Linked DNA regions of Drosophila melanogaster. The protein of the gene in region 1 interacts with the protein of each later gene in a pairwise test. Each region holds a gene or a part of one and is shown in the gene's direction. Other genes may lie near its edges.

Evidence for each region.
Region 2: the proteins of Gmppa (region 1) and step interact in a two-hybrid assay, tested with the Drosophila melanogaster proteins (one large-scale study listed by BioGRID).

The regions. Positions count from the first base shown.
Region 1 is NT_033778.4:15,676,428-15,681,473, reverse strand, and holds Gmppa (GDP-mannose pyrophosphorylase A), read left to right. Parts: upstream 1-2,517; 5' UTR 2,518-2,646; coding exon 2,647-2,894; intron 2,895-2,959; coding exon 2,960-3,662; intron 3,663-3,720; coding exon 3,721-3,985; intron 3,986-4,039; coding exon 4,040-4,140; 3' UTR 4,141-4,256; downstream 4,257-5,046. Other genes in the region: CG30091 (uncharacterized protein), read right to left, coding at 1-568, 629-903; Vha14-1 (vacuolar H[+] ATPase 14kD subunit 1), read left to right, coding at 1,492-1,866. UniProt on the Drosophila melanogaster protein: Regulatory subunit of the GMPPA-GMPPB mannose-1-phosphate guanylyltransferase complex; reduces the catalytic activity of GMPPB when part of the complex. Mediates allosteric feedback inhibition of GMPPB catalytic activity upon binding GDP-alpha-D-mannose.
Region 2 is NT_033779.5:21,754,070-21,759,831, reverse strand, and holds the start of step (steppke), read left to right. Parts: upstream 1-2,365; 5' UTR 2,366-2,589; coding exon of another isoform or gene 2,590-2,668; intron 2,669-3,204; coding exon of another isoform or gene 3,205-3,278; intron 3,279-5,762. Other genes in the region: CG1416 (uncharacterized protein), read right to left, coding at 466-601, 754-1,390, 1,473-1,620.

The DNA.
Region 1 (5,046 bases):
GTCCGCATCCAGAACAATGCGCTCGATAAAGTCGATATGGCCCATTACATCGGTGTACATACCGAAACCTCTGCAATCTTCGGTGCCAGTGCTGACGATTCCCAACTGCGTTGCTCGCTTGATGCCATCGAACAACATATGTATGTACAAGGGTCCACCGGAGTCCCTTTTGCAGGTATCTCTGCCTACCGCGGTGCCGGCACAGAACATTGGGTAATCAAAAGTGTACCAAAATGCTGCCTCGCACATTTTCCTATCTATTCTGTAGATCTTGACCATTTGAAGATTGTTACTCATCTTCCCATTGCCCGTTACGCCCCAGCCGATTGCTGTGAACTCCTGGATGAGATCCGTTTGCGGCTTGAGTTGGTCGTTCAGTAAAATACATAACGGTTTGATTTGTGGCTTGTAAACGATACTTTTTTGCAACCTAAGAAGCGCTATGTCATTGCGATAGTTTTGTATCGCGAAGGAATCGTGGATGTAGACCCTCTCCACGTTGTATATCTCGTGGGGATGATTGTGTTCACCCGTCGCCAGTAGATGGTACACACCCAAGGTAACTGTGCTGCAAATCACATATAATTATTCAATTATATTATATTATTTATTAATTTAAGGTGCTTACAGCTGAGTGTACTTTACAATGCATTCCTCATCGGTGCACATACAATGAGCGGCCGTCAAGACGAATTTGTTAGTAATTACCGATCCTCCGCAGATAAATTCGTCATTGGTTTTTATGAGGGCCATCCACGGATTCTTCAGTTCCCCCGCATCCACTCCACCTACAATCTTCGGTATTAATTGCATCGGAACTCCACAATCCTCGTCCAAAAGGCGGGCCGATCCTCGTCCCGCCGTCAGCATCCAAGCGAATAAAACAACCCAAGCTCTGCACATTTCCAGTGAAAACCTTCAAACACACTGAAAGTGAGCTGCTGTGCGTCGTGAATTTGAAGAAAAGCTTATCAGCTATGAGAATGCTGTTTCTATTAATATTTTTACTCTTATCAGAAAGAGCGGGATTTTACCAAAATGTTTTTAGCGCTAAATAACTTGACCTTTTTGAACAACTGAAAAATTAAGAATTTTAGATCCAAATTTTCAGAAAAATGGATATTTTTCTTAAAACCAGAATATAATTTATGGCAAGCTACTTCTTAATTCCTGGAATTTAAAACACATTTAAAACTAATACGCTCGATTAGCAATAAAAAAAACATTAAAGCTCTTAACAGTATTTTCATTTATTTAAAAATCACAAATAACACTGTGCCTTACGGTCACACCATCAGAAGATACCGTTACGCTACGGTACTAAAATACCTACTAAGAATACCAATGCGGTGCTGTTAGGCGCCTTCCAGTGCTGTAGACCGCAACTGTGTCATGTGATAGAGACCAGCTGACCCGTACATTTTCCAGAGTTAGGTTTTAATTTCGCTGTCCACATCGCTCGTAAGAAAAAATTAGAAAAAACCAATCGAAATGGCTCTGCACTCGGCAATCAAGGGAAAACTGATCAGCGTTATCGGCGACGAGGACACCTGTGTGGGCTTTCTGCTCGGCGGAGTGGGCGAGATCAACAAGAATCGCCATCCCAACTTTATGGTGGTCGACAAAAATACGGCCGTCAGCGAACTGGAGGACTGTTTCAAGCGTTTCCTTAAGCGGGACGATATCGACATCATTCTAATCAACCAGAACTGCGCCGAGCTTATTCGTCATGTGATCGATGCCCATACGTCGCCCGTGCCCGCTGTTTTGGAGATTCCCTCCAAGGACCATCCGTACGACGCCAGCAAGGACTCCATTCTGCGTCGCGCCCGCGGCATGTTCAATCCGGAGGATCTGGTGCGCTAATTCCTCGAATTCTGCTCGAGGACACTGTTTCGTATTGCTGCAACCGCCAGAGAATTGCTTTACACCCTGTAAACAACTATCCATAGATTCAGTGCTTCGCCTTTGTTCTTATCGTGTATTTAAAGACATTTATTAAATGGTTTTCGTTGTATAAATAGATTAAAATCAAATTGTTCCAAATCAAATACTGGAAGTCTGATATCTGGAGGTTTTCCATTGAAAGGTCTTTCCAGCTATGTCAAGTAACAGTCTTCCAGCAAAGATACAGTGCGCATTCGATAGGTCAAAAATATATTAAGCCACTAAATTGGTGTTCATCCTTACAACTCTCATTTGCAGATTTGTAAGAAATCTAATTTTTGGCAATGGCATTGGTTATTTATTTATCAATTTGTTGCCAGAATAATTTTTTTTACCAGTAGATAAGAAACTTGATTAACAGTATGCCCCGCATAAATGTGGTATCTAGAATTTTCATTAAAATAAATTAGCTATTAAATTTTGAAATTAGATTAGCTGTGTTAAATGTTCCATACATTTTCAATGAGTTTGGTGTTGCTGATTTTAAGGCTAAAGGAATATCTTGTATAAATTTACCAGATAACAAGTTCAGCGTGCTGTTAAGTCTGTTATCAGCTATTCCAAGGGCTGTTAGCGCAATCAGCTGTTGTAGAGCGGAGTATTTTCTAGCTGGCAACGTAAACATAAAATATATCTTTCTGAGAACCTGGCCACAAGTTGATCGATCGTCATTAGTCATCTTACCGCTGCACGCACACCATGCTAAAGGCCGTTATCCTGATCGGCGGTCCCCAGAAGGGCACCCGCTTTCGCCCCCTTTCGCTTGACACGCCCAAGCCGCTCTTTCCATTGGCCGGTCGTCCTCTAATCGCCCATCATATTGAGGCCTGCGCCCAGCTGCCCGATATACGCGAGATCCTGATCATCGGCTATTATCCGCAGACCCAAATGGAGGGATTCGTGGGCGACATGCAGGCCCTGTACAGCAGCAGCAACATCAACATCAGGTGGGAAGAGGGGCTTTGGAAGAACTTGAATCTTAAGTTCCAAGTTGACCTACCCTTTATCATAGGTACCTTCAGGAGTTCACTGCCTTGGGCACTGCAGGCGGAATGTACCATTTCCGGGATCAGATTAGAGCTGGTAACCCCCGAGCCTTCTTCGTATTGAACGGAGATGTTTGCGCTGATTTTCCGCTGCAAGAACTGTGCGACTTTCACGAGAAGCGCCCGGCGAGTGCTCTGGTTACTATCATGTCCACGGAGGCGACACGTCAGCAATCCTTGCACTACGGCTGTCTGGTTTTCGATCGGAGTAGCGGAGCCGTTTCGCATTATGTAGAAAAGCCTAGCTCCTATGTGTCCACATTTATCAACTGTGGGGTGTATGTCTGTTCCATGGATATATTCACGGTGTTGGCACAGATTTTTCATTCGAGAGGTCAGGAGTACAGCTGCCAGGCATTTTGCAATGGAAACGGAAATGGAAATGGACGAGAGCAGGGGCACATCAAGTGGGAACAGGAGGTGCTTACGCCCCTGGCTGGAACCGATAAACTCTTTGCCATGCCAGTGCCTAACTGGTGGTCCCAACTGAAGACTGCTGGGTCGGCAATCTACGCAAATCGTCATTATCTTGGCCTGTACAAGAAAACGCATCCCGAGAGATTGGCCAATGTGGGGATCAAGCGCGGAGAAGGGGACGGCAGCTTGATCTGCACAGTGCATCCGGACGTCTATGTGCATCCCAGTGCCACTGTCCATCACAGCGCAGTGGTTGGTCTAGATCAAACTTATTTTTTAGAGTGCTTCTAACAAAAAGGTCCTGTTCCAGCTGGGACCCAATGTGGCGATTGGACCTGGAGTGACAATTGGACCAGGTGTGCGCATTCGCGAATCGATTGTTTTGGAGCAGGCACAGATCCTGGACCATACGCTCGTGCTGCACTCTATTGTGGGCAGGGGCTCCACCATTGGAGCTTGGGCTCGAGTCGAGGGCACACCTAGTGATCCCGATCCCAACAAACCCTTTGCCAAAATGGAGAACCCACCGCTTTTCAACAACGAGGGCAAGCTAAACCCCTCGATAACCATACTGGGTAGGTGTTTTGAATTGAGTGATGACATTCTTGAATCCTAATTTTCAATTTCAGGCTGTTTCGTGCAGGTGCCCGCCGAGAAAATCCTGCTGAACAGCATTGTACTGCCGCACAAGGAGCTCAGTCGCAGCTTCAAAAACGAGATCATCTTGTGAGAATGATTTTATTTTTTATCTTCGCTCTGTGTCCCTATCAGTATGTCATTTTATATGTTTATATTGTGCTATATTCTGAAAAACTCCCTATTAAATGTGTCTTATCCTCTGCAGCCAATTTTACTACGTCTTTGACCCGGTAAGGTAAACTACTCGGCACTCGTGCTTTTATGATTGAAAGATGGATATGTGATAGTTGGGAAACAATTTTTTTTCGAATACCTTTACGTATTAAACTTTTTACGGCGGTATTACTTTCTTATAAATGTGGTCGAGGGATGCAGTTTTCTGCATTTGTGTGCTTTTTATAAGGAATTGAATTAGGTATATCCGTTACTCGTACAGTATATTCTCGCTCGCACTCCCACTAGCGTATCTTTCAGATCAAAAACATGTAGTAGTTATTGGTATATTTGTTATAAAAAATCGAGGCAATTAAGAATACCAGCATTCATATTGTTTATTTTTTTTAAAGGAAGCTAACTATTGTTCGAGTAAATTATTTATCTTGCACCTTTAAAAGGGGAGTTTACATTCCGATATCGATAAGTGCAAGTAGTTGGGGGTCGTGACACGGTTGCTCCTCAAAAAAGCGGCCCACGCACACCAATACCTGTGCGCTCCCGATGATTTTCCCACTCTCTCTCTCGCTCCCGCTCTTATTCGTTTTGACCAAAACGCGTTTACGTTGCTCGGTTGTCAGCCAGTTAGTCGCCGTCGCCTGTTGCTTTTGATCTGTGCATATCCACCGCTTCTAAAACAGTGAAATTTACTACTTAGTATACTTACCAAATAATGGCCACTAGCTGGAAATGATGATTCTGGCCAAAAGGTAAGGTAACCAGGTAAGCAGTCTATTCTACGTGGGCATTCACCGTTCTCCGTTGGTAATTGAGCAAGCGAAGA
Region 2 (5,762 bases), on another chromosome or scaffold:
GAACCCTTACTTCAGGAATTTATTTTTAGATTAGATTCGAGCTTTTACATCGTTTTTAACCAAATTTGCTGGTTTCCATCATATAATGTAATTAGGTATTAATAGGAATTTAACCTGAATGTAAATTTCAAAAATGTACTAAACCAAAATCATTACATTCATAAGTTTAAATCCGACGTATTGTAACGAATTTAATTTTTTTCTTAACCAATAAATAATAAATAGACAAATCACAAAGTTATTTTTTTTTCATATTACTATTTTCTTTGTGCACATAAAATTTTGTAAATATTTCGAATTTAGAGGCCCGTAGGAATATGGTCTTATACGCGTTATTTATTGACTGATAAGGAGTACTACATTCTTTGAAAATTATATCGTATATTGTTAATCAGGATCACTAAGCGGGTCAATTTAAAAAAATAAATAATAATATATCTAGTTTTCGTTGTCCTAGTAACTTACAGTTTCTTCCAGCTCTATGACAACGTTTGAGTAGTGACCAGATGTCCAGTTTTTCAGACGCCAGCTCTGCTGTATTTTTTTTTCAGGGACGAGCTCTTCGAATTTTCCGAGCACATTGCCTCCGTAAAGAATAAATCTACAATAAAAGACAAAAGATTACTTACCATAAAGAAGTGAAGACAAGGGCGAGGGGCGAAATTTATGGTTATTCATAACAAGATTACTAAATGACGACACAAACGGTCCTGATGTGATGGTAAAATAAAACGACCAGGGACAAAAACTTACTCTCCACCGCGCACGGCATCTACTTTGGCAGGTGCCCTCGTAAAGGCAGTGACCATTTCTGGCTTTGTGAGAGCGTTGTAAAGGTCATTGGCGCTGCAGTGAAATTCTTCGGTCATCGAGAGAGTGCGAACGTCCAGTTTACAGCCGATGCCAGAGTTCTTCAGCCTAGGAGCCGCCACCGAGGAGTTTAAAGCGATATTTTGGGCTGCATTACGGGTATTGTTGGCATCCTTAAAATTCGCCACAGTATTTCCCGCTCCGGCCTCGTCGCCCTTCTTTGGTAGGATAAGGTTCTTGGAGTACTCCTCCTTCAACTCTCGGATGTAGGAAGCCAGTTGCTGCCGCACGCGGTCTCGTCCCACGTTGTACATGAACTGTTTCAGGGTCTCCGACTCGTCGTTGGACTCGTCGATTGTCACCGTGATCTCTACGTCGGCTAGTTCGTTCTCCTCGGAGAGATTGGGAATGGTTAACTTGCCCTTGTGGATCAGCTTGCTGTTCTTTAGGAGCTTTCCAGACCACTTGAGCACCAGCTCCCACTCGTAGAAAAATATGAGCTTGCCCTTGCGATTGTTCACGGTGGCCTCCCCGGAGCATTTGTCCACGGAGTCCACGGCACACTCAATGTCGCTTTGCCCTGCGTTTTGAGAAGTTTACTTTTAGGTTAGGATATACCTAAAATGTATGTTCTACACTACTACAAATTCTTATATACTCGCCTATTTTGAAATCCTGAAAAAGCTGATGCAGGCGGTCCTTGGACCATGGCGTGGCGTTCTTTTCCGTCCAGTGCCAGTTGTTCACGTTGGTGGCGTCGGGCCGCTCCTCCACAATCCAGCGCGGATCTCCTTCTCCCCACTTGGCCATCGCTTTCTTACTGTAGAATTGTATGAAACTGTCTTCAATTTTATGAAAAGATGGAAGATGTTGGTTTACTTTTGATCCGGCAGTCTTAGCTTAAACTAATTCGGACAATTACTATGGCCAGCGAGTGGAATTTTCTAGAATTCTGCGGTTCAAAATAGGGATGTAAAAATTATCGATGCCAGTGCACACATATGTTGGCAGCGTTGCCACCAAGTCCGAGGTGTTTGTGCCGTTAAAAAAACGAAATGATGTGTAAATTTCCTGACGATATTTTAAATGGAGTTATGACGAAAGACGTATTCGTTCAGTGAATTTTTTAACAGATTTAAAATGGACAGTAAGTATTGGTGGTATTGTATTTTTTTATAACAAGGTTGTTTTAATGTTATATTTTTATGTACGTCCAAAACTTTAAGTTTATGTTTTTAACTTGTAACAAACAATTTTCGAAATGGTAATAGCCGATTCCCGCAAATCACACCATAATGGATGTAACAAAGTTGTTTTACAGCTTTTCAAGCTATTTGTCTTGAAATAGATAAGGTCTGCTCTAATCTCTGAAAAAGTGTACCCCTAAAAATATTTAATGTATTGTTGCAAGTAAATAATTAGCCCTAATTTTTTTAGTTCTACTGATTAAAAAGTTCTTACGTTTGGTTACAAGATGCAGTGGCATCAGGATATTTTAAAAGTGGCCACACAGAGCTCGCGTAACACCCAGCTTAAGTCAGCATGCACTTGTTATTTTTCAGTTGTTTACTCAACCGATAGCTGAATTCAGCACATCCCTAGTGGAGAGCTGAAAGAAAATGGCGATAGAATTTTTTTGGTGTTGATTTGTTTATTATCCGTTCGTCTTTGATTGTTCAATGAAAAGCCTTAAAAATTAGCCAACTGCTGGTGAAAAATGTACAACTAGAGTGTGTGTCGTGTGCGCGAGAGTGTGTGTAGTAGCTCAGTAGCTCCGCGATGATTAGCGCAATGGACAATTTCGACAACAGATCGTACGGTGCCATATCAAAGGGGCGCAGTGAATTCTCAATGCCAGGTAAACAGCAGATACTTTTGCTGGCCCGAAGGATATAGCCTAGCATGAACAGAATACGAATCTTTGTATTGATAAAATTTTATTAAGATCACAAATTGGGATACCCACAACTACAAAATAAGAGAAGCAACAAGCAACATTTGTATGTATAGACTTGTGTGCTAGGTGAAATGTTAGTGCACATATGTATGTATATTATGTACATATGTACATTGCGTTCTCGTTTTTGGCCTTCGTCAGAATTAAGTCCGAAGAGCTTTGGTAACGCTAATAAGCCAATTTGCACAATTAGCAATCCATTGTGGTTTCGACAAGTGAAAATTGTTTATCGGCCTAAGCTAGTGACGTAGCCTACAAGATGCTTTCATCGCATCGCAAACAGCTCGTGTATGCACGTGTGTATGTGTGTTGGGCGCGTGTGCCTGGAATGCTGCTCTGGTGTTTTTTATTTTTACTGTTGGTGTTGCGATACAATTTACAAAATGCCCAGAAACAAGTATATGAATTTATTATTGATTCGCATCTCGTTCTTGCAGAACTTACACCGGAGCAGCAAAAACTGCTGATTGAGCTGCGACGCAAGAAGCAGGAACTTTTACTCGAAATACAGGTAATTGACCATCAATATATACATACATTTTTAATTTTGGAAACAACGATTTAAGAACATATTCGTATACACTTGTAGTATACAGAAAAACAATTTCGTGATGTCTTTTTGTCTGGAGTTTTTGCCAGCTTCTTTTTAGGTGATTTGACAGAGAGGGAGCAAAGACACTAGACTTATTCCAGAGCCTTTGTAGGGAGGGCTTGACGGGCTCTGAATTTTTTTATATGAACGATTAATCTTAAAATATATAAATTTTAATAAACCGATAATAAAAATGATGGTAAAATTATTGTTGGTGCTAAGAATTAATTTAGCAAATAATCGAAAGTAAATATCCCAAAAAAAAATACAATAAAAACATTAAGAAGAGAGATAGTGGGCAAGAGAGTCGATTTTTATGTTGTTGAGTAGCATATGTGCATTTATATGTATTTATAAAATTTTATGAATACCTATAAGCCAGACCAATTTGGTTTTTTTTTCTACTTAGGTTGTTTTTTAACTCCTTAATGCGGGAAGATTTGTGATCTGGCGGCTAGTGGCAAGTTTAGCTATTTATGTTCGTGTTGCGATCGTGACTAGTTTTCACTTTGTTAAGACTTCTTTATGTTCAACAACTTTTTTAAAAGAAATATATATTTTAGTGCTCATATCATATCATACCTGAATACAATGACCATGGTTTTAACCCGCACGATCTACGATTGAAATAAAGCATTTGAAAATGAGTTGTTAAACGCCATATAGGCTTTCTCTGGTGTCTTTCTATAAAAAAAATCCAAAAATACTTGCTAGGATTTTAATATTTTTTGTGGTTAAAATTACCACTCACCAGCCCCATTACAAGTGATAATTTTGGTAGTGTATTTAAAGTCTTGTCAAGACATAATGTTTCAATTACCAAATCTGAATTTGAACTGAATTATTCACTCGAATTCCGAATATACAAATAAAATAAAAAGAAAATGTTTGTTCAGTCGAAACAAACTGTCCCTCCGGAATTCCCTCAGAATATTCAAGTCATCGCTCCTGTGACGATCGGTTCACCAGAATAGTAAAACTGCTGTCTTCCAACAGCGAACTGGAGATTTTTTCGCGTGCTGTAATTGTGGTTCTTCGAGTCGTGATCTAAAGTGAACGAATTTTTATTTATTGGATTTTTAACAATTGCCGTTTTGTCATTGTGCTGATATGTGCAAATGCTTGTATCGTTAGATTGTGAGAAAACGCAAAGGTGAGTGTGCTAAAAAGTCAATTATAAATTTGTGTGTGGTACGATACTACCAATTTAATTATCAATTGTTAAAATAAACGTTTGCTGAAATTAATAAAAATATTAATATTTTGCTAGTACAAGTCCTAGTTAAAGGGCTTTTATTTATTGATAACTTTAATTTAAAAAATGTATCTACCTTAATAATGTTGAACTACTTTTAGTGTAAGGATCATGTGTTGTTATCGGTCAAAATTTTCGTATGCACATCTGCACCGAAATGGAAATCTCATATTTTTTCTGATTCCCCCGAATTTCCGTTGCTTTTTTTTCCTAACTATCGGGCTTTATTATGTCTACCTGGATATGCAATTGACACATCGTCCCCTACCTTTCACTCTTCTGTTCCCCGACTACCTGGAGTTATAATTTTTAGCTCAGCGCAAAATTACCTATTTTTTTATAGAATTTATAGAATGGATATTTAAAACCAGACAGAAGAATAATAAAAGTATTTAAACCCCTTAATCGTAGAGTAAAAGGACATACTAAAGCAAGTATATTGTACTACATATATGTAAAGTATATACAACTGTGCATGTTTCAATGATATGTATATAGACATATATTTTAAAGAATTTATGCCATTAAAACTGGTTTTATCCCATTTAAAATAATTGGTATATTTGTAATCAAAGGCTTTAAACTAATGGATTGCAATGATATGTTTGGTGTTTACACTTTGAATGCGTCGTTTGTGTGCACAGAAATTTCGAAAGAAAAATACGCAAATGTCTTCTTCACTGCGTTGCGGTCTTCTGACTGAAATCAACAAAAATCACAATTCTGTATATTTTTTTTATGTTTATTATTGTATTTACTATTATTTTTGTATACCATGGGAAGGTGTTGGGAAATTGTGAGGTAATCAAATATTTTCTAATTACTTTGATTTGTGTGACTCATAGCTGATAGTGCATTAAAGTAATATGGCTTTATGTAGGTAAATTATTTCCGATCCCAAAACAATTTTTTATTTTAATGCGAGTGGACTTCCCTCCTTCCCCTAAGTTCGATCCTGATAAGACTAGGTGTTTTCAGGCCAATGGCGGTCGTGTGCTGATAAGTTGCTGTTTTTGGGCAAATATTCAAGCCGGGGGAAAGCACATACATACATACATACATGCAGAAGTGCTGGGAGAAAAATTTACAACTTTGATGGGTAGCGATAGAAATTGGCAAGGATTTTTTTTAAGGTGTGTTCCAATTTT